Linked DNA regions of Coturnix japonica. The protein of the gene in region 1 binds, or shares a complex with, the protein of each later gene. Links are inferred from orthologs where the notes say so. Each region holds a gene or a part of one and is shown in the gene's direction. Other genes may lie near its edges.

Region 1 (9,972 bases):
ATTGTCTACCTTACGCTTCAGATGCTCTTCTACTTTGCTTGAGCCGACATGATAGAAATTAATGTTACCAGTTTTCTATCAAGCAAATTACCTTAAACTGCTGGTAGCCAAACTGCTGTAGGGGCAAAGCAGCTTAAATCAATTACATTTGCATTTGATATGATGAACTAGCACCTTGAGCCAGTGTGCTGTTTAAAATATTTGTCTTGTGAAATAACTCTTAGGTGAATGAATTTTGAATGGTTCATCTTCCAGTTCCATACTTGTTATACCTCCTGCAAGGTTTGAATACAACATCCCTCTCCCCCATACAAAAAACACACACAAACACAAAAATCTCAGACAAATTAATACATTTAATATCAAAATACAAACGGCCTGAATTGTATCTCATTTATTCTCACTGTGCCTGTTTTTGTTTCTAAGGCATAAGACTGTTAACTAGAAACAACGACTCTTCCTTATTATTGTCTCCAGTATCTTCTATGGCGGAGTGGTTTTCTTCTCTTTGGTGCTTACATCTTTTGTGTTAGGTGTCATCTGCATGTAGAGATGGTAGTTTTAGGTTCCAGTGATGAAGTAAAGTAAATTAAGGTTCATGTATCTGTTCTTTAATGAATCTACCAGTTGCCTGATTGTTTCACTATCTTCAGATGCCTCACAGTTGTGAATGGAGATGATCTGTGGGTATTGATAGACTGTTTAAATCACATGTTGAGGGCAAGCAGATAATGTGAGATTCCCACGTGGACCAACACTAATGAAGAGCTACACATGTTTTCTCTAGCTGAGAAATACTTAGGAAGAAAGAGGGAGAGAAAGAGTTCTAAGAAGAATTTGTTTTCCTTATAAATGCTTTTCTGGGACATTCCTTTGCAAGAGCAAACTTTCTCATCAAGAAAAGCTTCAATGAAGATGACTTGGAGAAGTCAAGGTGATTTAAGGCATTAATTATTAAAAGGCTTAAAAAATACTAGTATGTAAGGAACAGAAGAAGCTACAGAAGCAGGAAAGAGTTAGAAAAAAGAAAATACAGGAATACTGAGGAAATAGAAGATAGTTCAATTCTACTGAGGAAAATATATACATATATATATATAATTGTCTAAATTCAGTTGTGCCTAATCCAAAGCATCTAAAGATAATATGTGAAGAACATTCAACATGATAAGAAAGCGAAGATTTTTAATACTGAAGTTTCTGCTTTTACATTTCTATTGGGGGGGAAAAAAAAAAAAAAAAAGAAAAAGAAAAAAAAAAGACAAAAACTAAGCAGGTGAAAACAAAGCAATTATAAGAAATATTATGTCTCATAATATAACATACAGTCATTTCCTCGGAATCACGAATATTAGAATTCCATGGTTATTATTTTTTATTTTAAACCAATTAGGTGATCTTTTTTAATGGGAGGGAAACTGGCAATTGTTCTCTTCCTGAGGAAAAAATAAAACGTCATTCCTGTAAATTCCAGTTACATAAGTATATGGGCAATTACACTATTGAGGAAATCTGTGACAGAGAGTAGGCACTAGAAAATACCTATGAAATATGATTCTCATTCATAGAGCTGCCTGAACTGCAGAACACCCACAGAGCAAAATCAGCTGCAGATTGGTCTTTCTACATCACGGAAATAATAGAAAATGGGACTGGAGGGGAATGTGAGTGGCCATCTAACCTCTGTGCTAAGGCAGATGAGCTGTAGCTAAAACTTTAATGGCACACTAGTACAGTCCACACAATGTGATATATACTCCCTCCCTCCCACCCTTCCTTCCACCCTTCCTTCCTTCCTCCTTCCTCCCTCCCACCCTCTCTTCCTCCCACCCTCTCTTCCCTTCCTTCCCTTTCCTTGTCTTTCTTTTCTTCTCTTTCCTTCTTAGTAAGGCAGAAAATGTGTTCCCATCAGTATGCAAAAAAAAAAAAAAAAGCAAACAAAAAAAACAAAAAAACCAAACCAACCCAGAGCTAATACCACTGGAATGCACTCAGCTGTATTTTTGCATGCATTTATGCATCTACAAGCAAACAAACAACAACAACAAAATTACAAATTTAAATTTTATCCTGCTACAAAAGTTGATCCAGGGAAGAAGGAAGAACTCTTCCCACTGGCTGTTCCCTGCAGCAGGGTTTTGAAACTTCTGCAGGTTTCCTGCTTCTGAAGTATCAGTTTCATGGCATAGACAGGCAGATAACGTAGAAAAGGATAACTGTATTTCAAAGGAAACTTTCTATAGCAAAGAGAACTTTCACGCAATCAGAATTCTACCAGTGCGTTCCTGCTATATATGGCATGTGCATCCGTACTTAAATGTATTCACAGGAACCAAAATGTTCTGCATTGTAATATCTCCATTCAACAGATGGAGCGTTTGTCTGTATCTGAGACAAATCACGCTATGAGCAGCGCCGCGATGGAGGCTGTTGCTTGTCTTTATCTTTTCATATGCACACTCCACGTTAAAGATTAACTTGCTCTACCCTCTACTTCAGACCATTTCCGCGCCTTTTTTTGTTTTTTTTTTTTTTACTACCGATCTCTAGGAGGCAGAGGAGAGACCGGGACAGTCCGTGACAGCTCCCAGCCTCTCGCTGCCACCTCGACCGTCCCGGTGCAGGGCCGTCCGCCCCGTGCTGCCTCCACTTCGTCCCGCGGTGCCCCACGGCTTTCACCTTCGTGCGCTCTGGGCGCTGACCGCGGAGCCCGCTCTTACTGGGTTGTGTTACCAATGTTGTGAAATTCAAGCAGAACACTTACACCTTAGGATGAATGTCTTGAGGGAGAGCTTACTCTCCTTGAAACAGCAGCTGTTGTCTCTCTTTTCGGAACGGGTAGTCTGATTGTGGCAGACGTTAGCATTTCTTAGCACCTATGAAAAACCTTTATCAAGTGACTTTCCCGTTATCTCTCGCTCTCACATAGACTTCATTTGATTCTATTATCCGCTGTGCCCCCCCTTCTACTCCCCTCCCCGTGTTTCCCCACGCGGCAGGGAAAGCCAAACCGACGATAAAGCGCATCCCGCGACGGCCGCACGACGTGTTCGCGTCTCTGCGCAGCCCGTGACCCGGCGCATCCCACACGCAGGTGTCCGAGCATCTGCGGAAACTTTTGCTGTTCATAAGTAATTATCATATCTGTAGCTGGGGGCTTTTCGAGCTCGACGGGCAGGTCACTGCCGGGATACGAGCACTCCGGTGCGTGGGTGGGAGTGGGGATGCTGAGCGCCCCGCTACGCGCCCCGCGGGGCTCCGCGTGCGTCAGGCGGGAGGTGGCGTCAGCGGCAGCGGGCGCGGAGCGGCGGAGGGGAGCAGCGTGAGCGGGGGGGAAGGAGAAGGGGGAGGGGGGACTGTGAGGGGGAGGGGGGAGGGCACTTCATCATGAGGCGATGGCTGCACAGCCGTGACATCACCCTGAGGCTTATATAGTTGGGGAAGGGTCCGGGTCCCCCATCTGGTGCCTGCTGCTGCCCGCTAGTGCGTGTGCTGAGGCGCGGAGCGGCGGCACTCTCTCTGTGTGTCTGTCTGTCTCTCTCTCCGTCTCTCCCCAGGATTTATGGACTTTACTTTCTAGAGAGCGGCGCGGCAAGGATGAAAGCTCAGCTGGTGTGCGTGGTGCTGCTGGCCTTGGCCTCCTGCAGCCTCTGCTCAGGTAAGCCCTGCCGCGCCCTGCGCCCCGTGCCTCCGTGCGGCGGGCAGCACCACGCGGCCGGCCGCTCCCGCAGCCTCGAGCGAGACCAAACGGGGCGGGGTGCGCTCACCTCGGTCTGAGGCTGCTGATCTCTGCGGGCGCCCACGGCTCGCACCGAGTGGGCTCTGTCCAGCATCACGTTGTCCATCACTCCCGTAATTTACGCCCTATCTGCAAACCATTCCCCTCAGCAACATCGCTACCACGATTGTTAGTGCAGAGTGGTCATTGAGAAACGTCGATGTAGACTGTCCCATTAATTTTGTTGCTGCATTTGTGATATTTGAATCCCGGGTATTTCCAGGCTATCACAGGTGCTGTGTTTTCTTCTTCCTTCCATCAGAGTACAATTCAGCATTACTATATATGTACTGTAGACACTTTTTAGTAGCTGAAGTACAGGTTTAGGATTCTGGGGGGAAAAAAATCACTACTAATGATTTCAAAATGAAGACCAAATGCTGGTCACAAAGATGCTTGTGTTAGATGTAAGTGCATTTCTACTCTATGATCAGTTGATTTAGAAACAAAAAAAAAAAATAGGGTCATATCTGAAAATGCACCACCAAGTCATTTGGAAAGTGATATAGCTAAGAATGTGTTATTTAGATAATCAGTTTAGGATTAAAATAATAAAAGAAAAGAATTGTGGCAAATAAGCAGGTGTACAGTGACAGATGCATAGCAGAATAAGCTTCAAAATCCAGTCTCACTGGTGTACAAATTGCTGTTTCTTGTAAAGGTAAAGTGTAGATTTACAATTAGATTAATTTTTCAGCTTAAGTATCCAGGAGGACTCAGAACTCCTTGTTTTGGATGCAAGTTTCCAATGTGCATTTCTCCACAGAAACAAAATGTAACACATTTAAATTTGAATTTTGTCGTGGCTTAAGCATAATCATTTTGTGTACTTTACAGGGCTGGTGTTCTTAGGGACAGGGTTAAAGTTTATTATTTTTTATACATGTATATGTAGATTTTCAAGCAAAACCATGATTCATATTTTCAGTGAGGCAATTTAAATTTCATGAAACACTAAAGTCAAAGATTTGAGTGGAAATTAAAATAGACTCATATAAAACCAGCAAAATTGAATGTGTAACTGACATGATGGTTCATTTGTTCAGAAATTTGGAATTATATTTGAATGAGAAATGTCATAGAGAAGTTTGTGCTGAAAAGCCAAATCAGTTTTTACTGATGTGGACAGTTAAGTCATTAGGAAAATGATCAATCATTTTCGTTTTATTTTGAAAATATTTGCCCTCAGGAAAGTGTGTTCTAATAGAAGACAATTATTTCTGTAGAATGTAAATATACAGAAAGAAGCTGTATTTCCTATCGATAATAAGGTAAGCATAAAAAAGACAGCAAAGTGTGTGGATTTTCCTCAGATCTGCACAATAATCTGTAACCAGATTGCTCTCTTGAATATTTGCTCTTCTTCTGCTTTTACCTATCATCTGTCTTTTTCACTCCTGAATTATCTGAATATGTTCCCTTTTCCTCCAGGCTTTGTTTCATTCTTCACCATATGAACAGTTTCCTAAGTAATATCCTCCAGACTTCTTTTCTCATTCAAAATGTTTCTTAATAATCATCTATTCAGCAAGCTTTCCACTTCTGCATCTGTCTTGTACCCTTGGTGGTGGGGAAACTACGTTCTGTTCTATCTACAGGGTTCTAACTAGATGCGAATCATTTCATTGCTACAGAATACAACAAATTGTGATGCTGTCATGCGTGCACTATTCACTCATTTGCAAGACCTACTATCAGTAGTCAAAATTTATCTGAGGTGAACTTGTGCTGCCAGCAGAAAGAACTTCATCACTGATGAAGCTATTGAGAGACTAGGTAATCCTGAAAACAAGTAGTGCTGAAATGGCTGAAAGGCATTAGGCTCTAGAGAAGTTGCTAGTGACATGCTGTTACTAGTGACTTTACTGCTGTCCAGTCTTTACCAATATTGTCAGTAACAATTTTTAAGTAAAAACAGTAAGTGTAGCGTACTGGTAATACAAAGCTGAACATCAGCATCACTACAGAGGAAGACTGACATAAGGCACAGACATTTTTTGGTGACTTTAATACAAATGGAAAGCAGTATAACTATACAAAGTGATTGTTTAGGAAATAATATTCACTTCTATTAAAAACTCCTTTTAGCAGAAGCACAACCAATAAAAATGTCTGAGGAGACAAAGAACGTGGTGATAGTATCTGACCTTACTTGAATTAGGGGATGCCAAGATTTTTCAGATATGAAAGTAGCAAAAGCCAAAAATATTGCAGAAAGCTACTTCCTTAGCAAGTGGTAAGCATAAAGGTGGTTAAGAACTGAGACTTCTGAACTTGCCCTTGCTGTACTGGGCTGAGATCAGTGACTTAGTGAATAGATGGCTATTGTGTGAGAGTAGACTAGATCAGAGACAGAAACAGACAGTCTAATAGATCTGAGCATAGCCCTTCACCAAATAAATGTTCATGGAGTTTCCAGAAGAATGGCTTATATCCAATAGACTATAGCAGAGACACGGTAACTTCACATTAGTTTGCTGGTCACCATTTAAAAACACCTTGAAGATCCAAGTTGAGAAAGATTGTGATTGCTCCCAAAAAACAGCAGCTAAGTAACTGTTAGTTAGTAGAGGTGGCGGGTAGTAATTATGAAAATCAGACCGATTTTGAATGAAGAAAGTTGCACCAGTGTTTGTACTGAAACAGCTGAAGATTAATGGGCCTGTCTAGGGGTTGACAGTGAATTCTTTCGTTTATGTTAATAAGCTTGATTGTGCACTGAAACGTAGTGAAGATCCATTTCAAAATACAGTTTTGGTACCAAAAATCTCATAGTCACATTAGAACACATTGCTGTGAATCCACTTTTATTTCTGTTTCCCTCCTCTGCCCCAGCTCGTTTGTCTATCTATATTTTGTTTGTTCAATTCAGATGTCCATGATTTACGATAAGATAATGAACATATGTTACTGGTTTATTCCCAGATTCAGAAGAGGAAATGAAAGCACTAGAAACAGATTTATTGACCAATATGTATACATCAAAGGTAATTATTTTTTCTCTTTTAGTTGATAGTTAGAAAGCAAATGAATTCTCATTACAAACCTGAAAGTCTTTACACAAAGTAATAACTTGTGGTCCAGACCTGAAAGTTCAGTGCTAGACATTGCTTTGGTGCAAGGTTTTGTCAGTTCAAAGGAAATTTAAAGGTGTTGATGTGACACACACAAAAAGTGTTCCTCACGTATAACATTGATACTTCCATTAAACTGTCGAAAATGTGTAGAGGGATGAATTTATAAGAAGAAATGTGTTCCCAATAAGATTATGCCTGCTGAAAGCTAAATTAACCTTTAGACAAATCTCTAAGTGAGATTTTTATGCAGAACTTTTTTTTCTATGTGCATATAAAATTATGACAGTCATAAAGCAAAATCTGTTAATACATATGCTGATTTTGGTTTAGGAATTTCATTATAATGTTAGTACAAGAACATGGGGGCATGACTATGAAACTATTAATCTGGTAAATGACATTTCCTTGACAAGTAGCCAGACTATGAATGATGTAGATGTTATTTAAAACAAGTAGACAAAAGTTCTGTTCCAAACTCATACTAACGTAGGTGAAGTAGCAAGTGTTGCACATATGTATTGAACAGGCTGACAGACACATTCTCAGCACTGTTATTTTCCACAAATGATCTAAGAAATATGTATGTCTAGTGTTTCTTCAGCAATACTTTGAAGAAAAAGCTCCAAAACAAGATTCATAAGCTTCAAGTTGAATGATTTCATGCTTGGTGCTTGGTTTCACTGGTAAATAAAATTATGTATATTCTGTATTTTTTTGTATGTGAGCTTTTTCACAGTATCATTTGAATAAACCAGGATAAGAAATGAGGCTGAAAAATACATTGTTCTAGTCTGATCTGTCAGTTCTTAAGTTCCCACATTCTTTACTGGCATAAAGATCACAAACAAACCTGTTTGCCACTGGCTTCTCTAAAGAAAGATTTAATAGAGATTATTTCCCAGAGACAAATTTTAATGTTCTTTAAATAGTTCTTTCTCTGCCTGCCAAACCATAATATGCCCTGGGAAAAAAACCCTGCAGCTATTCTATTGCTGCTACTGATTTGAGTCGGACTGTGACTGTAAATTCCACTTCCATCTTTCCTTCTCTTTTACCATAGAGTACAATCTCAGGTAACTAAAAATGCTGAAATACAGTGCACCTGTTGATAATACAAAGATGTTTGTTATATACTATTACGTGTTGTTTTACATCGTGTAACTTACTTTTTAATGGCTTTATGTTATATATACTGCAAGTGAATTGACACTTGAGGTTGATATAAACAACAGATAATGGAGACATTTTAATTCTAAATGATAGAATTTTAAATCATTATTTCAAATTAACTAGTATAAAATGTACTCTTTCTTGACAGTAAAAGGCATAGTGGAACCACTAAGAAGGTGTATGAAACTACAAGACATAGATCCATTCATTACTGAAATAATTTATTATTATTATTATTATTATTATTATTATTATTATTATTATTATTATTATTTGGCCTCCGTTAGTTTTTACTCTTCATTAGAACAGAACCATGGTTCTGATCTAAAGACTAATTTTAGGATGGCAACTATGATACCTGACTGGCTTTGTGCCTGAGATTAGTCTCCAGCTGAAGGCAATTACCATTAAATTGTATTAATCATATTTAACACTGACTTGATAATCAACAGCAAGGGAAATCCAGCCAATTTAAACAGACTCAGTGGTTCTCAAATCACTTATGTTTCTGCTATTTCACAGAAAACTTCTAGCTATGTAGCTACTTGTGAAGTATGGTATCAAATGTATGCAATATTATGGCCTTTTTTTTTTTTTTTTTACTGTATTCTTTTGACTTCACAGACTGTTGACAAGTGTCTTCTGGTCTTTTTCAAACTACTCTTTAAAGTCACCCATGTGCTGAATATCTCTCCATATTTAAAAATTTGCATTCATGCTTTCATGAACTGCATTCAACTTTTAATATAGCTTATCACTTTTCTCCCCGTTACACCTTGGAGAAGATACAGGAATCAAGCAAGACCATAAAAAGCTTTATATATCTATCTTCTAAGATAAAGTCCAAAGAGCCTTTTTGAAGATTTAGTAAGATAACCTGAAGTATCACAAATATACAAATTATTTCCTGCTGTCTTTTGCATCAAAATGATAGATCTACTCCCAGCTTCTTTAGTGCTAACATGAATCTACCATTTGCATGAAGAACATCTTGCCATCTTGATCTCAAACAAGACTGAAATGCTATTAGTTCAAGAGGGAAAAAAAAAAAAAAGTTAATTGAAGGAATCATCATGACCAGAATACACATTTGAGATTCCTACTTACATGAATTTTACGGAATCTTGAGTTCTCTGAGCTTGAATTCCTGTTCCTTACTGTATATACCTAGAAAGTTTAGCCTTCGTATCAGGCAGATGAGGCTGCAGCTGCCTAAGAATTTCTGTCTTCCAGACTCAGTTATTGCAGTTATTGCATGCAAGTCCTTATATTTATATAGGCATTAGTATATGTCATAGAAGAACTTCATTCTTAAAGGCAGAAAATATTTTCGTTATTATTTCTACTGTTATAGTCTGAATAAATTCAATCACTGTTCTGAAAAGGAACCATTGAAGCACCTATGTAAGGACAGTGTAGACCTACTGACATAATACATTTCATACTCCTGAAATGTATGATACTATCATTTTTTTGAAAATGATACTTTCACATATCCCTCAGTGCATTACTGAAGTTATCTGGATGCTTTGTGTGTTATTAACACTGCTGGATAACAGGTGATCTCTCTGTCTTATTCTGTGCAGAGGAAGTCATTAACCAAAACTAAGGACAGGGAAGTACACCAGAAAAGGCACTGTAACAAGCCTTCAGTTCTCTGCATTATATCTCATGAATTCTGTTAGCTAAGTCCAGGTGCTTTACCTAGCTGTTCAGTACCTTGGATTTTTCTTGATCATGAATCTTTTTCACCTGATTTCACTAGATAAAGGCAAGATAATAATACAGAGAGAATGGAATATTGTACTTATTTTATTTTAATTAACATTTAGGTGGTGTTCATTACCAAACAGAAACAGCAAAAATTATATTAAAATATATTGGAGCATCATTCAATCAGAAATGGAAAGAAAAAAACATATATTGTCACTTGAGATTCTCTGTAGT
Region 2 (9,932 bases), on another chromosome or scaffold:
AACCCTCACCCTAATCCTAACCCTAACCCTAACTCTAATCATAACCCAGCCAGAGCCAGGCTGAAGCCTCAGGGACTGCAGCAAATGCAAACACTCCCCTTGGATTCCTCTGTCTCATTTCACTGTATTTCTTCCTGGGGTAAAACAAGATTTTCAAAGGGAAACTACATGGCAGTGCACAAGCACAGTGTGTTGGGCATTTATATTATATATGAAAACAAAGTGTGTTGCCACAAGGAATCTGATTTGGGCTTGTTGCAGTCACAACTCAGGGGATCCAAAATCTGCTTCTATCTCTGAACTGAAGCAGCTGGTATCTTCTGTGTGTGTCCAGTCAACGCATCTGGCTCTGTCTGAGAGAAATATTGTAATGCCTATAGGCCATCTGTTAATGTTAAAGGAATTTTTGCTAAAGTAAAGGGATGAATCTGAACACCCAGCACGCAGAAGATAAGACCTGTACAAAGAATGCAGACACCTCCTTTCCCAGCTGTCCATTCCCAGAGATTGATCCTTCTTCAGGGAAATTCTCTTACCAACATCACTGTAGGTATCCCAGTGTGCTCTGTTTTCCACTTTCCTATTTTCTTTTAAATCTGTCCAGGGACACAATGCTGGGGTATGAGATCATTGCTCTGTGCTGGGTGTGACCCCTCTACTTTGCCAATGCACACACCAATGTGTTCACACTGAAGAGTCTCAGCAGTTTCCTCTGCTATGAAAATCAGAGGCAATAAATATCCCATGTATCAACAGTTTTGATTTAAAATACTCTCCTGAAATCGTTTCAGCCAAATACAGTAAATAACGTGCAACAGTTGGGAATCCTTTATTGCTTATCCCAACTAGCAATACTTCATTTTGCAATACGCTGGGTAATGCAGTGCTTGTAAGTAATGATGCAGTCAATATTGTAGTCAACAAAGCTGATATATGCCCAATTTTCTATCACTCCTTTCTTCCTTGTGCTCCCCAGGACTGTATCTTACCAACCCACTTTAGACACCCCTGACTTTTAGGGATGCTTGAAGAAGGGAGCACCTGTCCCATTGATTTCAATGGGACCCGACTTTATAGGTTTGAACCAGTAGTCTGCTCTAACAGATATATATGATGGGGAGCTGTGACCTCAGCAAAAGGAGAAGGTTGATGCTGTCATTTAACGTCTGTTTCTTGCAGAGCTTTCTCTTTGCTGCTTTTCATGTCCTTCAGAAAAATCCCACCCGGAGAAATCAGACTGCAATAGGGTTAACATGAAAAATTCCTAGTGGTCCCAGCTGCAAAGGGAAAAGCAAAGAAGAAAAACACTTGGGTCAACATAAAAGGGAGTGAGGCAATCTGGGGGCCTCGTATCCTGGTCACTGTGGGACCCTCAGCTCACAGTCCAGGAAGTTTTAATAGGCAAGGTCTTTAGGTGATATTTTCCTGCAAGATTTTAAGTAAATGCCTTGCTGTAACATTTGAGATCAAGAGCCTGTTGGTTTCCATCATTCTTTTCTGTTCTAAGCCACAGACACACACATACAAAATATATTAAAACGAGCCCAGCTTAGCTAAAAGGTCGTCTAGTTCAGAAACAAACAGCAGGGATTTAGGCTGGAAGCTTTAGCTCACAAGTAGAGAAGGGTGCACCTCCAGCTCTGCTTTTGCTTGAAGGAGGATATGGATTACCTCCCTGCAGGGAGCAGAAGTGAAGGAGAGAAGAGATGGTTTGGCATTCATTTCAATAACCCACACAAGGAGAGGGACTGTGCATATCCTTCAGTGATGCACAAGTAATGGGGACACTAATAGTGTGTTGGGAGATGCTCTCTGCTGGATGGTGTCTTTGCTTGGCACTACAGTTCTGCCCATTCCAAGGGAAGGGTTTTCAAGGCTCAGCTCTGCACCACAGGTAGGTATCCAGCTCTGTAAAAATGATGTGAGGACAGAAGGTAGAACAAAACCTTCCTATAAAGATATGAGAGACGCTGACCCTTTTCCAGCTCCTGATCCACATGATCAGGCTTTCTTTTATTTTCTTCTTTGCTTGGTGACCCGTGCTTCTGCATGGGGAATGGCAAAGCTGCATGTCAGCAGGCAGACTCTGGGAAGGCAGCATACTCAGGCTCAGCTAGGATAAACTGTTGGTAAATTTACCAGCACTGGTGTACATTGGAGAGCCACATCATGATTTCACATCTAGTCACGCACTCATGTTCTCTGATGACTCTACAAGAGGTGCAAGCTAGCTAGTTGACTTGATAGAGGAGCAATGAGTCAATATTCTTGCTATTCAGCCTCATCTGCTAGGAAGAGCTGAAAAACAGGTACCTTCCAATGAGATTTTATGAAAGCGGAGGTTTGGCAATTGACATAAACTGCAGCAGCCTGATGAAGTGCTGATGGTAAATCAACAGCTACATTGATTCCAGGTAGCTGATATTTCAGAGTGCAATTAGAATTCTCTTGTAGCAGCACCTCTGGGTATTCTCTGCCAGCATTTGGCACAGAGAGAAAGTGGAGAAGTTGGTACCTGCAGCACTTGGGAACAGCTGCTGGGACAGAGAGAGGAGATGTAGTATCTTCCTTGTCAGCAGCAGTGCCTGCGTTGCCTGTGTGCAGAAACACAAGGCAACAGAATCCAAAACAGAGCATTTCTAGAGACAGCTATTGATATAAACGTGCACAAACACACTGGAAAATTAGACCAGCTGATGGGTATCTAGTTTATGGGGATAGCAATTGCTTTCCACAAGGCCAAAACGAAGTTACAGGGCTAGGGACAATAACTCTTTGTTATGGACAAGAATCCCAAAGGAACTCTTTCACTGCCTCAGGGAGGAGTGCTTTAGTGCAGAAGCATGGCTTTGGGCTTGGATCACAGGACCATAAGCTACTGTAAATGGGGGGCTAAGGAGTAGGAACATCGGGAACCTGAGAAAAGAGCACAGCCCCCACTGCAGCTGTACTTCAGACAGCAGCACAAGGACATGGAACAGGGGGTGAGAGCAGCTGGGGACCCCAACCCTGACAAATTCCTATATGCTGACAGAGACCTCATAGAAAAAAACTGTAGATAAAAGGAACACTGGTGCTAAGAAATTATTAGTCATTCTTTAAGCCAGTGTGGGATGAATGCTAGAAAACATTTAAATGACTACATGAGACTAAATAAATCTGATTTTGGTCAGCTTTCTGTGGTGACGCTGTTTGCTGGATATAAGAGAAATTTGGGGGAACGTTGGTTGTTGGTGGCTGGCTGTGTAAAGTCCACTGTAGGCATGCAGAGATTATTTGATTGACTGCAGGATTAGATGTCTTGCATCAAACAGATAAGTGGTGTGCAAGGCGTCAGTGCACTCAGAGCCCACCGGTGTTTGGAAACACAACATCTGTCAGCAAATAAATTCAGACAAGTTATGGTTGCCTTCGCCAAATCAGTGGATGGGAAATCCCTGGATGGGATTTCCTAGATCTCTGTGCAATAGTAAAGAGCTTTATCATAAAGACAATCAAGTAAACAGCCCACTGAGGTTTTACAAGACAACATCCAGCTCAGCACCCCGAGCTTGAGAAAGTAACCACCAATAACCCCTATCCCGGGGAGCCCTTTGCTGCAGGGGATCCTTTTATCACCCACAGCATCAACGTGGCATCTTCACACCCCCTGCAACAGAACAGCTCATAGAGGACGGTTCATCCCCAGACTGGAGGATGTGGAGCTAAAGGAAAAGTGACATATGGGGATCAGAGCAAAGCAGCTCGCTGCTGATGTTGCTGAGTTGTAGGGCTGAGAAGTCTCAGGGCAGAGGTAGATATTTTTATGCGTTTTAAATGCATTTTAAATGCATTCCTCCTAGAAGTAGCAGAGTGTGTGGGATGCTCACAGGGCACGGGAATATCCAAGGGTGCACTGCTGGTGTCTCTCATGACTTGGGGATAGAGTTGAAGGGGGTAAATAGGGCTAGGGCACTTTCCTAGTCCCCTGCCAGCCCTCTCCTTACAGCTCTGCCTCTGTGCCTGACTTTGCATGGGATGGAGAAGTGGGGTTCCAACGGGAGAAGGGGGGCCCAGTACCCGGGGCTCCGCAACCTCCTCTCCCCAGCCCATCCTCTCCTCCCCATCGGCTCCAGTTCGGGCGCCGGGCTGGAGCTGCCGAAGCCGCTTGGCGGCGGGGCTCGGGCAGGGGGATCCGAGAGGAGGGGCCGCCTCCGGGGCCGGGGGAAGGCAGTTCGGGGGGCGGCGGTGCGGCGTGTGCCGGCGCGGCTGTGCGAGGCGGGCGGTGGTGTGCGTGTGTGTGTGCGTGTGTGTGTGTCTGTGTGTGTGCGTGTGCGTGTGTGTGTTCAGGGAAGCTCCTGCCGTACCCGGGCACATCTGGGCTCCGGGAAGCTGCAGGGAGGAGATTCCAAAGCTGCGGGCTGCACACAGAGCGGCGAGGCTGCTCCGGCGCTTGTGTCTGTCTGTGTGTCACACACTCACACACGCACAGCAGCCCGGCAGCGGTAGGCGCCTCCTCCCCGCCGCATTAAAACGAGCCAAGTTTCCTCGCTGGGGGCAGCGGTACGTCGGGGCGGGCGGCGGCTCCGACCTGCAGCCCCGGCGGGGCGGCCCGGCCACGGGATGCACCCCAACGCCACGGCCCCGGCCGTGCCCGGCGGCTCCCAACACCTCCACCCCAACGCTTCCAACCGCTCCGACCTGCTCTCCAAAGGACCCGACGAGGAGGATCTGGACGTCAACACCGATATCTACTCCAAAGTCATGGTGACCATCATCTACCTGGCTCTCTTTTTAGTGGGCACCGTGGGGAACTCCATCACAGCGTATACGCTGGTGCGCAAGAAGTCGCTGCAGAACCTGCAGAGCACCGTGCATTACCACCTGGCCAGCCTCGCCTTCTCCGACCTCCTCATCTTCCTCCTCTGTATGCCCATCGAACTCTACAACTTCATCTGGGTCCATCACCCCTGGGCTTTCGGGGGAGCTGTCTGCAAGGGCTACTACTTCCTCCGGGATGCCTGCACCTATGCCACAGCGCTTAACATCGCCAGCCTCAGCGTGGAGCGCTACATGGCCATCTGCCACCCCTTCAAAGCCAAGAGCATCATGTCCCGCAGCCGCACCAAGAAGTTCATCAGCTGCATCTGGATTGCCTCCTTCCTCCTCGCCATCCCCATGATCTTCACCATGGGGGAGATTTATGCTAAGGATCAGGATCCGGATTCCATCATCTGCACCACCATCGTGGACACCTCTACGCTGAAGACAGTCATCCAGGTGAGGACCCCGAGCAGTCGGGGATGGGCAGCTGCCTCCTTCCCCGAGCTGGAAAAACCCAAACTTTGTCGAGGGAAGGACAGAGTGGGTGGGGGAGATAAGGCTGGGGAGCCGGCTTTGGGAAGGGGGGGAGCGGAGCAGCCCCGACAGAACAGAATGGGACAGAGTGTAGGTGAGCTCTGTAGTTTGATGGGTGGGGGGATGTCGGCTGTGTTTGCTGTGCCCCATACGGCTCCTGCCCCCCAGCGCCAGGCTGAGCACCGGGGTGAACCCCACAGTGAGATAATCTGGGCCCCGGGATACGGCAACAACCCCCCCCCATCCGAAGCAGTTGTCCCTGCTGCCCGCACACAGCCTGCCCTGTCCCATAGCGGGGCTCTCTGTCCCACATCGCAGGGATTTGCATGCAGAGATCCTCAGCCTCTCTTTACACCCCCTCCCCTTCGGCTGGAAAGGGATGAGCAGCATCAGGGCAAATAAACCCATCTTTCTGCTCCACTCTCCCTCCCAGCTTCTTAGGATGACCCACAGCTCATTTCATCTGTGAAGTAGCAGACTGATCTCAGAAAGTTTTGGGCAGCCAACAGGAACAGCAACTGCAAAGCTGGCAGCTGCTATTTTGGCTGTTTGGAGAAAATCATAGCTGGTCTAACTAGTGGCCCCCTCCCCGACTTCAGAAAGGCTTTGCTGGTCTCCATGCACTGCTTAATCTAACACTCCCATGAGTGGAAAGGATTTCAGCATCACCACTCACAGCACTCTGAGGGGTTGAGGCATTTGTTCACTGGAGCATTAGGCTTGAAAAATGTAAGAGAAGTGGAAGGAACGGCAGAAAGAGCCTCCAATCTCCATAGCTCCTTTGCCTCCAGGCTTACGTATGATAGCTTCTCAGACTTCTATATGAAACATGAATTTCAGGTGGGTCTAATCTGGAGCCAAAAGCCTTCTAAATGTTCCTGCAGGTAAAGAATTTAAATGGAAACAATGATTTCACCCTCTAAAAGTGGGTGAGGATACAGACAGGAGTAAGCCCACAGACTGCAGATGTTACTGGATGTCTCTCTGAGTTTCCCACTGTGCTACTGCTCCAGTGACCAAAATCCAGCCCCAGTAGAAGCTCTGAATTCCCTCCGAATTTTGTCTTCACACCTAACTTTCACTTTCAGATCATGGAGGTTGTTTCCCCTGTAGCTTTATAGCTTTTCTTAGAGGCAGCCCAGTGTGCTTAACCCAAATTCTCTATTCTCTAAGGAGGAGTGAGCCGTCTGATTTAAGAACAATGTGGCTGGAATGCATTATTTCTACTTATCTTCCTTTAAGGATTAAACCCATGCTTTGTGTTAACACGATAGAGCTGAGGATAGATTATTTCCTAGCCATGTCTATGGAGATTGAACAATTCTCAACATATTTTACAGTCTCGCTGTTATTCAGGATCTACCTTATCCTGTTACCCGAGTAAAAGACAGGCAGACATTAATGCATTGTGTATGAAGTTTGCCTGTGGCCTCTTCCTTACATTTTTTATCATCATTTCACTTGTGAATGTACTGAAAGTAAAAGGAAGGAGGCAGCTGTGGGGGAGGCAGGGGAGCAGAATACTTTTCCTTCTTGGGAACCTGGCTACAAATGTAGATTTGTTAAGATAGGAACTAATATCATGGCTTGGGGCTCATTCCTCAGCACCCAACCTGAAGCAGGGCCCTGGGTCAGTGAGGGCTGCAGAGTGAGTAAGCAAAGCAGCTGCAAGTCGGGTTTGAAGTGCATTAAGGGAAACCATTGCACAGCGTGTGATCGAGCATTCTCATGTTGTAAGCTGTGCAGGGGTTTTAAAAAAACCCAACGAATAATGGAAGACCTGTGAAGGAAAGGGCAATGGTAATGCGTGAGAGTGATGCACAGAGGTCCCACAGTTCAGATATCCAGAGCCCTTGAGTTGTGCAGAGGGCTGAGGATGCTTCAGAGCAGGTCTCTACATCTCTTTCGTTCATTTTCTGCTTTTAAATTAATCAGAGCAATGATACATTTGCTCGAGCTGGCGAATCTATCGTATTAAATCACTCAACATATTTCGCTCTTCCTGTTTGGCCAGCTGCCTAAAGTAAATTGGGATTTTTTAAATTCTTTTTTATTTATTTATTTTTTTGAATCCATCGGTTCTCCAAGAGGTTTCATTTGGTGAGTAATTGCAAGCCAGGCCCTAAACACAGCAAATGTAACCATTTATAGACTCAGAGCTCAGTGCTCACACTGCGGAGCCCAGGAAGATGTCCCTCCTTGGGTTGGAGCCACCTCAGAGTGAACACTGGACGTTCTCATTGAAGGCTCTTTCTGACAAAGTTTCTGACTCTTTGCTTGGAGTCTTTAAGGTCTGATGGACATCCCCAAAGGGAACTGCACTGTGTGCACAACTAAGTTTCCTTATAAAAGGGAACAAGAGTTAACCATTCAAACAACACGCCACACACACAATTTCTGCTCATATTAACACGTACCACTTGATCTGCGCAACTCTAAGAAGTAATTACTGGCATTCCTCTAGTAATTACAGATTGCTCAGTGCAGCACACTGCTAAGCAGGCAGAGCAACACATGTGTGCTCTGTGGGGTGTCACCCATCAGCACCATGGGGTGCTGAGCATCCCTCCTTGTGCCATCACGGCGTGAGCTCCGTGCGACCTCTGGCATTTAATTCCTTACAGCAGCTCTGCTTCCCAGCTTTGTTTATCAGCAGCCTTGCAGCTGCTGAAGTCAGGCTGGTTTATTCTGTTCTCCTCAGTGCCAAGCTTGCCTGTTCCTTCTGTCTGTTAGGGGTGTCTGGTTTGGATGCTGGCATCGTTTTGGGATCTGGTCACAGGAATAAGTCCATTATAGTACATCATTTAGGTCTAGTTAACACTTTAACTGGCACACATCCTCTAACACATGCTGCAGCCAATTTTATGGTGGGTTGTTTTTTTTTCATACAAATTAAGCACCTCTCGAAGCCATTTCCATACAAGTAAATTAATGTTTTCATGCCACTTCAGCTGGAGGAGGTTATAACAGCTGCTCTTTATGGTACCACCAGATAAAAGAGCTGTGAGGCAGAGCGACATGTGGGCTCTGCTCCCCTGCGGGTCAGCACTCGTGCTTTTGGCTGCTTGTGGTTCTGCTCTCAGAACAGGAGACCCCTCAGTGACTGCCCCACATCCACCAGCATTCACTGTCCATCCTGTTCCAAAAGGACCTAAATTTTACTGTCTGGGTGGCAGTGCAAATACTGTTTTCCTTTAGTGCCATGGTGCAGCATAACCCAGAATGTCCCCCGGGCTCTGACTGGGCCACCTGCAGCCTTTTAGCCTCAGTAGGGTGGTTCAGGTTACCCCTTTCCAAGCCTTTGCTGTTTGTATTCCTGTGTAGGGTGTCTGATACACGCTGGTGGTTTATCCCCACTCTTGTGTGGCTGCAGCTCTCCCACCCTGCAGGTCCATTATCTGTTGTTTTATGAAGTCTGCTCATGGTACAGTAAATAACACAGCACATGAAATAACAGGTACTCTGCTTTATTTTCTCTTGCATTGAAGTAACGTGCTGAAAGGCTTCAGATCTGATGGGATAAGAAGGAGGGAGCAGACACTGGGGCTGAGGATGGAGGAGCTCTTTCTTGCGTGCAAGATCTCTCACACAAGACAGCTGGCCTGAACGCTTCCCTGGCCCTAAGCATGATTCCAAGTTCACCTATTCAACCCCCATTTATCCAAGGGGCCCAGCATCCCACACACAGTATTGCAAACACTCTTTTACACCTTTTCCAGTGAGGACATGTGGCAAGATGCCTGGCAGGTCCATGGGGCCCTGAAAATAAACCTGGCAAGCGTCTCTTCATAGCACATGAAAAGCAGCAATGAGTAAAACCAAAGGGCTGAATTCTCTCCATATTTGCTGGCATATCGTATCCAGGATTAGTCAATGGCTTCAGTTCAGGAATTCTGCGTTCATTCTAATGCTGGCTAGAGGAACTGAGGCTGGTCTCTTTTCCTTAAGTCACAGCCAAATTCCTGCTATTGCTTTTACTAGGAGGGCTGTTTTCAGTCACTTACATGGTGATAATCCTACCCCTGGAGCCTGGCTGATAAACTGTTATGAATAGATAAAGGTACAGGGTCTCTGCCCACCAGGGAAGCCCACTCAGCAGCAGCACAGATCAGCTCCTCTGTGGCAGGACTATGTCTGATGCAAGGTTTTAAAAGTCCCTCATACCACAGACTGCACAGGTGTCCATAGGACTTTAATCCAGCAAACTCAGCCCACCCAGTCCCAGGCCATTTACACATGCTCCATCGTACAGCTGGATCTGACTTGAGCAAGCTCCTGTGTTTGTTGCTTTACGTAACTGCTTGGCCTGCTGCGTTCTGCCAGTTCTTACATAATTTCTTCTCTTTCTTCCCCCCCAATTGATTTTAATTCACTTGATATTTTTTCCCTCTCCAACCCCCTTCTCGAGTTGTCAGCTGGAGGGAATCAAAAGTGAGGAAACATGGCCAATCAATTCAGCTCTTATGTTTTCCTCTTAACAGCGCCTTGTAAGAGCAGAAGAGATGAAGGTATTCCAGTGGCTCCTCTTCTCAGGGAAAAAGAAAAAATGCAGCTGCCTTTAATCTCCTTCCAGATCAGTTAAAACAGCTATTTAA
Region 3 (10,048 bases), on another chromosome or scaffold:
GCATGCATTCCTTTGGCAGCGCTGCTGCTGTGCAGCCCTCATGTCCTAGTGATGCGTCCCAGCTGCCTGTGCAGGGCGCTGTGCCCAGCTCTGTGCTGCTGTCACCCCGTCCTGTTGTACAGCAGGTTCCAAGGCACATCCCCATTGAGCAGGAACCTGCAGTTACTGGAGGTGGAGCTGCAGCACGAGGAGCTCCCTTATTACATCGTCCTGCTGGAGAAAGGCCTGAGCTGTCCCCAAAGCCATTCCCTGCTGCTGCTACTATGAGGAGACTGAGTCAATTCAAAGCTATTTCTGCAGCCAGCTGCTATTTTAGGGAATCAAAGAGCGCGGTATGGGCTGCACTGATCCTGCTGTGCTGGCAGATCAGGCAGCAGGGAAGGAACAGCTGCTGTGTCTGTGCTGCTCTGTGTTCCACGCTGGCACTCGACATACATGGGCACGTTTAACCCTTTGCTCCTTGTCTTTCAGCTCGCCACCATAGAGCCGGGCATGAAGTTCCACATGTACACAAAGGAGGAGCTGGAGGAGGTCATCAAGGACATCTGAAAGGGACACGGGCTCCTAAGGCTCATTGCCCCGATCAAAGTGAACTGACTCAGTTCCTCCCACTACCTGCCGCTTGGTTTCCAGCAGCATCTCACAAGGCTCCCAAAGGTGTTTTTTTTATTTACAGTCTGTACATAAACGGATCCTGACAAAGAGGAAGCGATAATAAATCATTTTGTTACTCTGTGCTGGGCTCTGTGCTAAGGGGGGGGGTTAACATGGAGCAGGTGAGGACAGCACAGCACAGCAGGGCTGCAACCCATGGCTCCCTCAACCCATGTCTCCCTCTCGTGGAGGACACAGGCTCCATACAGCCCCATGGCAGCCCCATGGCAGCCCCATGCCATACATGGGCCGTGCCCAGCCCTGCAGGTGCCCCTGGACTTTGTCCTTTAGGATCACACCCCTGTGCCAGGCTCGGGCTGTTGCCCCATTCCCTGCTGTGCTGCTCCTCGCCCTGTTTGTGTCCCCATAGAACAAAAAGCTGATTCTTCCAGCTGTTCTATGCTATAGAATGGTGCTTTGTGCCCTGCTCTGGGGCACGGCACTGCAGCTGGGGGGGTTTAAGGGCTGTCCCTATGGAGATATGGGGCAGCTTCCCCTTGGGGGGCTCCTTTAGGGCCTCTGTGTGTCCCCAGAGCTGCAGTTCTGCCCTAAAACTGCGAGTTTTGCCCCCAAATTGGCCATTGGGACCCCAAACCAGCTCCAAGTTGGGCGCTGTGTCCCCAGACTGGGAGCTGATGACCCACTGGTGCCCCATACTGGGGTTATGCCCCCAAACCCACCATTTATGGCCCCAAACCCACCATGTCTGTACCCCAAACCCACGACTTATGCCCCCAAACCAGCTGTACCCCATAGCCATGCTCTGTGCCCCATAACTATGCTCTGTACCCCATAACCATGCTCTATACCCCATAACCACACTCTATACCCCATACCACGTCTATACCCATAACCCACACTCTATACCCTAACCACATCTTCTATACCCCCATAACCCACGGCTCTATACCCCTAAAACCATGCTCTGTGCCCATAACATGCTCGTATACCCCATAACCACGCCTCTATACCCAAACCACCAACTTTCTATTACCCCATTTAACCACACTCTATACCCCATAACCATGCTCTATACCCCATAAACCATGCCTGTACCCCATAAACCACGCCTCTATACCCCATAACCACGCTCTGTACCCCATAACCACACTCTATACCCCATAACCATGCTCTGTACCATGCTCTGTGCCCCATAACCGCGCTCTATACCCCATAACCATGCCCTGTACCCCATAACCACGCTCTATACCCCATAACCACGCTCTATACCCCATAACCACACTCTATACCCCATAACCACGCTCTATACCCCATAACCACTCTATACCCCATAACCATGCTCTGTACCATGCTCTGTGCTCTATAACCACGCTCTATACCCCATAAGCCATGCCCTGTACCCAACCACACTCTATACCCATATACCACACTCTATACCATAACCCACGCTCTATACCCCTAAACCATGCCCCTGTACCCATAACCATACTCTATACCCCCATAAACCATGCCCTGTACCCAAACCACACTCTATACCCCATAACACGCTCTCTTTACCCCATAACCACACCTCTATACCCCATAACCACGCTCTTTATACCCCATTAACCATGCCCTGTACCCCATAACTACCACTCTGTGCCCCAACCCCACTCCTCGTGCCCCCCCCTCGCCCTGCTACCTGTCGCCTCGACCAATCAAAAAAATCCGCTCTGCCGCCCCCCGCTCCGCCAATCAGCGCGCTGTCGTTAGGTGGATCTGAGCCCATGGCCGGTCGATGAGGGGGGCGGGCTCGCCCCCATCGGACTAAGCACAGCGAGCCAATAGCGAGAGGAGGATGGCTGTGATTGGACACAGAAAGTGAACCAATCGGAAACGCCACCGCTGCGGACGCGGTTAGCCGGCGTTGAGCGACATCCTTAGAACCAACACGCGGCGGGGCGTGGCGAGAGGGGCGTGACGATGGAAGGCATATCCCCCCCGTTAACCAATGGGGTTGTGGCGGACGGGGAGGGGCCGGCGGCCAGGCCGGCGATGCGGGCGCGGCGGCGGCGGCGCCGGAGTCGCCATGGTCCCGCGCGGGGCGGCTGCCGGCTGGTGCGGTTCGGTGCTGGAAGCCCGGCTATTGGGGCTGGTGTCGGTGCGGCCGAGCACCGGCGGGGGGCGGCAGGAAACGGCGGATAAGCGGGGATTGGAGGGGACGTCACGGCCGTGCTGGGAAACACAACACGCAACAGGTGAGCGACGCGGGGAACGGGATGGGGACGGACGGACACCGGCGGTCACGGGACAACGGGACGGGACAAGCGGACACAGAAGCGACCGGCGAGGGGGAGGAACGACAGCGACAGACAGGCACAGAACAACATAACAGACCCGACAGACCGATTAGGACGACAGGGGACAGACGACAGACACCGGACAGACGGACAGACAGACAGGACCGGGCTGTCGGTGTCACCGTTGGACACAACGACACACGTTACAAGCCGGTCCCCCATTCTAACCCCCCCCCACCCCGCGCTCCCCGCAGGGCGCGCCCCGCTCTTGCCGCCCGGCCGGTCGTTAATTGCCGCTAATTGACACCCGGGAGCGGGATGTGGGCCGGTTGCTGCCCGGTGTCCCCCGTCCGTGTCCCCGCTCAGTTCGTTCCGTCCCGTTCTCTCCCTTTACCTTGTAAGGGACGCGCCGCCAGGCCACCGACCGCTGATGCGGGCTCCCCGGACGGCGTGACGGTGGCCGTGCCATTTATTCATCCTTTAGCGTGATCCCTCCCATGCCCCATTGCCGGTCCCCACAGCCATCCCCATATGCATCCCTATATCCATCCCTATATCCCCATATACATCCCTATATCCATCCCTATATCCCCATATACATCCCTATATCCCCATATACATCCCTATATCCCCATATACATCCCTATATCCATCCCTATATCCCCATATCCATCCCCATATACATCCCTTATATCCCCACTATCATTCCCTGATATCCCATATCATCCCTATATCCCATCCCTATATTCCCCAGTATACATCCCTATATCCATCCCTATATCCCCATATAACATCCCCATAACATCCCTATACATACCCCATATCAGTCCCTATATCCGGGGGGGGGCGGTGCAAGAGAGTCGAACCCCATAATACATCCCTATATCCATCCCTATATTCCCATATACATCCCGTATATTCCCAAGAAGCTCCATTCCCTATTTCCCTATACCACCCAATATAACATCCCCACATCCATCCCTATATCCCCATATTACATCCCATATAACATCCATACTATTACATCCCTATATCCCCCATAACATCCCTATATTACATTTCTATATCCCACAATCCATCCCCCAGTATTACATCCTGATCGCCCTATATCATCCCATCATTCCCCATGTGACACAATCCCTATATCGCATCCATCATACAGTCCCCTATATCCGCCATATACTCCCCTATAATTCCCCATATACATCCCTATAGTCCCCATATACAATCCCCACCATCCATTCCTTGTATCCCCATATCCATCCCTATATCCCCATATACATCCCCATATCCATCCCTATATCCCCATATCCATCCCTATATCCCCATATACATCCCCACATCCACCCCACACCCCCTTGATCCCCACATCCCCATGCCCTGTATCCACCTCCCATGGTTGGGGTCCCCCCCTGCCCGTGACCCCCATTCCCTGCTCACACTGAAGGCTGTTCTGTTCCTCCCCATCTCCTTCTCTTTCTCTCAGTGCGTCTTCGATGACCTCAGTGGCTCCGTGTCCCTGTCCTGGGTGGGCGACAGCACTGGGGTAAGATGTGCAGGGGGTGCCGCCCCATTGAGGGGCTGTGGGGGCTGCAGACCCCCCTGTGATGAGCTGAACACGCTGTGATCCCGCAGGTCATCCTGGTGCTGACCACGTTCCAGGTGCCCTGGGTGATTGTGATCTCTGGGCAGTCCAAGCTGTACCGCAGGTATCGATACACCCCCCAGACCCCAATCTAATGTGGGGAGTGGGGCCCTGCAGGCAGTATGGGCTGCTGGGGGGTCCTGGTGGTGCTGACAGCTGAGCCCTGTGCCGTCCCCGTACAGTGAGGACTATGGGAAGACCTTCAAGGACATCACCAACCTCATCAACAACACCTTCATCCGCACCGAGTTCGGCATGGCCATCAGCCCTGATAACTCGGGGAAGGTGGGAGCCCCACACCCTGCCCCAAACCCCCAACCCCAGCCACTGACCCCTACCCATAACCCAAACCCCTAACTGAAACCCCAACCCAACCCCCCAACCACTGACCCCTAACCCAACCCCCCGACTCCAACTGTTAACCCCTATCTCTAACCCATACCCCCAACCCCAACTATTGACCCCTACCTCTAACCCAAACCCCTAACTGAAACCCCAACCCAAGCCCCAGCCACTGACCCCTATCTCTAACCCAAACGTCAAACCCCAACTGTTTGCCCCTACTCCTAACCCATACCCCCAACCCCAATCATTGACCCCTAATCCAAACCCAAACCTCAAACTGAAACCCCAACCCCAGCCATTGACCCCTAACCCAAACCCCCAACTCCAACCATTAACCCCAACCCAAGCCCCCAATCCTAACTATTGACCCCTAACCTAAAACCCCAACTGAAACCTCAACCTAAACCCCCAACCCTAACCACTGACCCCTATCTCTAACCCAACCCCAACCACTGACCCCTAACCCAAACCCCCAAGTCCAACTGTTAACCCCTACTCCTAACCCATACCCCCAGCCCCAATCATTGACCCCTACCTCTAACCCAAACCCTTAACTGAAACCCCAACCCAAGCCCCTAACCGCAGCCACTGACCCCCAACTCAAACCCCCAACCCCAACCATTGACCCCTAACTCAAACCCTGAACTGAACCCCAACCCCAGCCATTGACCCCAAACCTAAACCCCCAATTGAAACCTCAACCCAAACCCCCCAACCCTAACCATTGACCCCTACCTCTAACCCAAACCCCCAACCCCAGCCACTGACCCCCAACTCAAACCCCCATCCCCAATCATTGATCCCTAACCCAAACCCCTAACTGAAACCCTGACCCAAGCCCCCAACCCCAACCACTGACCCCTAACCCAACCCTGAACTGAAACCTCGACCCCAACCCCTGCCATTGACCCCTACCCCTAACCCAAACCCATAACTGAAGCCCTAACCCTAACCTGTCCCCTACCTGTTAATCCAGCCCCTGACCCTCCCCCTGTCCCTGGCTGAGTTTCCCCTGGCGCGGTGCTGAGCGCGGTGCTGTGTCCCACCCCAGGTCATCCTGACGGGTGATGTATCTGGTGGCAGTCGCGGCGGCCGCATCTTCCGCTCGTCTGACTTTGCCAAGAACTTTGTGCAGACGGAGCTGCCCTTCCACCCCCTGGCACAGATCTCGTACCACCCCCAGGACTCCGACCGTCTGCTGGCGCTCAGCACTGATGTACGGACATGGGGGGGGATATGGTGGGGAGGGGGACGTGGTGGGCATGGGGTATGTGGGTGAGGGTAGGGGATGTGATGGGGATGGGGGATATGGTTGAGGTTGGAGGATATTGTGGGGATGGGGTCATGGTTGGGGATGTGATGGGGATGAGGATGTGGTTGGGGATGTAGTGAGGATGGGGACATGGTTGGGGATGGGGTCATGGTGGGGATGGGGGATGTGGTGAGGGAGGGGGAGGTGGGTGAGGGTGGGGGACGTGGGGATGAGGATGTGGTTGGGGATGGGGGACGTGGTGGTGATTGGAGACATGGTTGGGGATGGGGATGTAGTGAGGATGGGGATGTGGTCGGTGATGGGGACATGGTGGGGATGGGGTGTGTGGGTGAGGATGGGAGACATAGTGGGGATGGGGACGTGCTGTTGACCAGTGGCATTCATCACTTACAGAACGGCCTCTGGGTCTCCAAGGACTTTGGGGAGCACTGGGAGCTGATCCACAAGGCTGTCTGCTTGGCCAAGTGGTGAGTGCCCACCTGGTGGCTGTGCTGTGGGGTGGTGCTGCCCCATCTCTGCCCCCATCTCTGCCCCCATCTCTGCCCCCATCCCTGCCCCATCTCTGCCCCCATCCCTGCCCCATCCCTGCCCCCAAGCATTGCCCCCATCTCCTCCCCCATTCAACTGCCCCCATCTCTGCTCTCTGTTCTCTTCCAGGGGTGCAAACAACACCATCTTCTTCACCTCCTACCTGAACGGCTCCTGCAGTGAGTGCCGCCCCTCTGCTTTCCCATGAGGAGCGTGGGGCGCCCCATTAACCCGCTGCCCCTTGTCCCCTTGTCCCCAAGAAGCTGACCTGGGCTTCCTGGAGCTGAAGAAAACCACCGACTTTGGCAAGACCTTCAAAGTGATCGGCACCAAGATCTACTCCTTCGGGCTGGGCGGCCGCTTCCTCTTCGCCTCCGTCATGACCGAGAAGGTGGCTGTCCCCTCCCTGCGTCCCCCCCGTCAGCATACACAGGGCTGGGCTGAGGCTGTGGGTCCCACAGGGCTTCACGCGGCGCATCCACGTCTCGCTGGACCAAGGGGAGAGCTGGAGCATGGCACAGCTGCCCTCCGTCGGCCACGAGCAGTTCTACTCCATCCTGGCAGCCAACGACGACCTGGTGTTCATGCATGTGGATGAGCCAGGAGGTGAGTGGGGCTGGGGGGGGAATGGGATGGGAATGGGACAAGGATGGGGATGGGGTGAGGATGGGGATGGGGATGGGGATGGGATGGGATGGGACGGGGTGAGGATGGGGGTGGAGATGGCGATAGCATGAGGATAAGGTGAACATGGTGATGGGATGGGGTGAGGATGGGGATGGCATGAGGATAAGCTGAACATGGTATTGGGATGGGGATGGGGAAGGTGTGATGATGGGGATGGGATGGGGATAGCATGAGGATGAGGTGAACATGGGGATGGGAAGGTGTGAGGATGGGGATGAGGTGAGGATGGGGATGGGATGGGGATGGGAATGGGGGAGGATGGGGATGGCACGAGGATAAGAACATGGGGGTGGGATGAGGATTGGGGGAGAAATGGGATGGGGATGCAGATGGGGATGGGGATGGCATAAGGATAAGGACAACATTGGGATGGGATGAGGATGGGATGGAGAAAGGATACAGAAGGTGTGGGATGGCACAAGGATGGAATGAGGGTGGAGATTGGATGGGATGAGAATGGGGATGGAGACAGGATGAGGGTGATGTGAGGATGAGGATAAAGTGGGGATAGGATGGAGATGGGATGAGGATGGGAGCAGAGATGGAATGGAGGTGGAGTGAGGATGGGATGAAAATAGGGACGGGATGGGGGTAGGAATGGGGATGAGGATGGGGTGGGGATGAGGATGGGATGGGGATGAGGATGGGGTGGGGATGGTGTTGATGAGGTGAGGTGGGTTTGGGATGGGGTGGGCGCTGTGTGCAGCTGACACACCACATCAATGCACCATGAAAGCTGCTCTGCAGCACAGCGCCCTGAGCCGGGCAGGGCTGTGCCTTTGAGGAAGGACTTTTTCTCATTAATTCCCTCATGAGGAAGTTAATTAACGGGCAGTGGCTGCAGGGAAGCACATTCCTGGCATGGAGCGTGGCCAAGTGTCCACTGGGGGTGGTTTTCTTCCGTCTCCCTGCATGGAGCTGGTGGGTACACGGGGACCCCCCTCCCCATTACCACCACCCCATCGCCCCCCAGACACCGGCTACGGCACCATCTACACATCAGACGACCGCGGCGTGGTTTATTCCAAGTCCTTGGAGCGTCACCTCTACACCACAACCGGGGGGGAGACCGACTTCACCAACGTCACCTCTCTGCGCGGCATCTACATCACCAGCGTGCTGTCTGAAGGTGATAGCTCGGCTCTGGGGGGCTTGGGGGTGAATGTGGGGCTGGGGCTGTTCAATGGGGCCGCGCTGCCAGCCCCGCTGAGCCCCTCTGCTCCCTGCAGACAACTCCATCCAGTCCGTCATCACCTTTGATCGAGGTGGGGAGTGGGTTCCGCTGCGTAAACCCAAGAACACGACGTGCGACTCGACGGCGCGCAGCAAGGAGGAGGTGGCTCTGTCCTGTGTCCCCAAGCAGGGACACGTGGCCCCATTCTTACCCTCCATTCCCTCCTGGGGTGGGATGGGGATGTGTGGGGCTGGGGGTGTGTTGGGCTGAGCCCACCCTGATGCGTTTGCTGCTTGTCCTTGCAGTGCAGCCTCCACATCCACGCGTCCTACAGCATCTCTCAGAAGCTCAACGTGCCCATGGTGCCGCTCTCTGAACCCAACGCCGTCGGCATCGTCATCGCCCACGGTACAGGGGGGGTCTCCACGTCCCCATCCCCAACACTCAGTGCTGCTCTCATTTGTTGTATTGATGCTTTATTTCCCCCCAGGGAGTGTCGGGGGGGCCATCTCAGTGATGAGCCCTGATGTCTACATCTCGGATGACGGGGGGTACACGTGGGCACGGATGCTGGAGGGTCCCCACCACTACGCGATACTGGACTCGGGTGGTCTCATCGTGGCCATCGCACACAGCAGCCAGCCTGTCAATGTGCTGGAGTGCGTGGGGGGGCTGAGGGGCTGGAAGGAGGAAAGGGGGGGTGGGCAGCATAGGGAGGTGGTTCTGGGGGTCCTGGCATGGGGAGAAAGTGGGGGAGTGGGAGTCTGGGAGGTGTGGGGGTTGGGCTGGTGCCAAGGCTTGGAGGGTGGCTATGGGGATTTGGGGGGGTCTGGAGGTTGAGGTGGATTTTGGGGGGTTTCTGGTTGGTTTCTGAGGGTTGGAGGTGGGTTCTTGGGATTTGGGGTGGGCTGTGGGGTCAGGGGGGCTCTGGGGGTTGGGATGTGGAGGGGCAGCAGACACCTCCATGCTCCCATTGCTGCAGGGAGGTGGGGGGGGGGATCTGTTCCATCCCCTGAGCATCCCCCTCCCCTCGGCAGGTTCTCCACAGACGAGGGGCAGTGCTGGTACCGCTACACCTTTGCCAAAGAGCCCATCTTCTTCACTGGGTTGGCATCAGAACCCGGCGCCCGCTCCATGAATGTCAGCATTTGGGGCTTCCGCAGCAGCTTCCTATCCCGAAAGTGGGTGTCCTACACCATTGACTTCAGCCAACTGCTCAGCCGCAGCTGTGAGTGAGGGGGGAACCACCCCATGGTGACACATTTGGGGCTGAGGTTGTTGGGAGGGGAGGTAATGAGGAGGGGATATAGGGGGAAGGATGGGGGTGAGGGTGGGGGGGAAACGGAGATGGGTGTGGGGTGGGATGGGGGGTGAAATGGGGGTGGGGATGGGGGAGATATGGGAATGGAAGGGGCGGGGGAATAGGGATGGATATAGAGAAGGGAATAGGGGATAATAGGGATGGATATAGGGATGGGAATAGGGGAGAATAGGGATGGTGA

The links.
Region 2: the proteins of NTS (region 1) and NTSR1 are in contact, whole or in part, in a crystal structure (PDB 4BUO), measured with the Rattus norvegicus proteins. The link is inferred for Coturnix japonica from reciprocal best matches to the Homo sapiens genes NTS and NTSR1. Residues at the interface, in NP_001095851.1 of Rattus norvegicus: Arg157, Arg158, Pro159, Tyr160, Ile161, Leu162; in NP_001102437.1 of Rattus norvegicus: Ser53, Asp54, Leu55, Asp56, Asn58, Phe128, His132, His133, Tyr146, Met208, Val224, Cys225, Thr226, Pro227, Ile238, Arg327, Arg328, Phe331, Cys332, Tyr333, Ile334, Ser335, Asp336, Trp339, Phe344, Tyr347, His348, Tyr351.
Region 3: the proteins of NTS (region 1) and SORT1 are in contact, whole or in part, in a crystal structure (PDB 4PO7), measured with the Homo sapiens proteins. The link is inferred for Coturnix japonica from reciprocal best matches to the Homo sapiens genes NTS and SORT1. Residues at the interface, in NP_006174.1 of Homo sapiens: Leu152, Tyr153, Glu154, Asn155, Pro160, Tyr161, Ile162, Leu163; in NP_002950.3 of Homo sapiens: Val112, Ser113, Leu114, Ser115, Trp116, Lys260, Tyr304, Ser305, Phe306, Gly307, Leu308, Phe314, Ser316, Arg325, Ile327, Phe350, Tyr351, Ser352, Ile353, Tyr395, Gly399, Thr570, Gly571, Leu572, Ala573, Trp586, Trp597.

The regions. Positions count from the first base shown.
Region 1 is NC_029516.1:38,340,095-38,350,066, forward strand, and holds the start of NTS (neurotensin/neuromedin N), read left to right. Parts: upstream 1-3,360; 5' UTR 3,361-3,597; coding exon 3,598-3,658; intron 3,659-6,703; coding exon 6,704-6,765; intron 6,766-9,972. UniProt on the Homo sapiens protein: Neurotensin may play an endocrine or paracrine role in the regulation of fat metabolism. It causes contraction of smooth muscle.
Region 2 is NC_029535.1:7,370,421-7,380,352, forward strand, and holds the start of NTSR1 (neurotensin receptor type 1), read left to right. Parts: upstream 1-4,260; 5' UTR 4,261-4,602; coding exon 4,603-5,259; intron 5,260-9,932. UniProt on the Homo sapiens protein: G-protein coupled receptor for the tridecapeptide neurotensin (NTS). Signaling is effected via G proteins that activate a phosphatidylinositol-calcium second messenger system.
Region 3 is NC_029541.1:1,576,760-1,586,807, reverse strand, and holds the start of SORT1 (sortilin), read left to right. Parts: upstream 1-4,254; 5' UTR 4,255-4,269; coding exon 4,270-4,440; intron 4,441-4,529; coding exon 4,530-4,603; intron 4,604-4,721; coding exon 4,722-4,824; intron 4,825-5,935; coding exon 5,936-6,100; intron 6,101-6,550; coding exon 6,551-6,624; intron 6,625-6,814; coding exon 6,815-6,864; intron 6,865-6,945; coding exon 6,946-7,076; intron 7,077-7,146; coding exon 7,147-7,291; intron 7,292-8,345; coding exon 8,346-8,501; intron 8,502-8,601; coding exon 8,602-8,708; intron 8,709-8,851; coding exon 8,852-8,954; intron 8,955-9,036; coding exon 9,037-9,205; intron 9,206-9,583; coding exon 9,584-9,774; intron 9,775-10,048. Other genes in the region: PSMA5 (proteasome subunit alpha type-5), read left to right, coding at 472-549.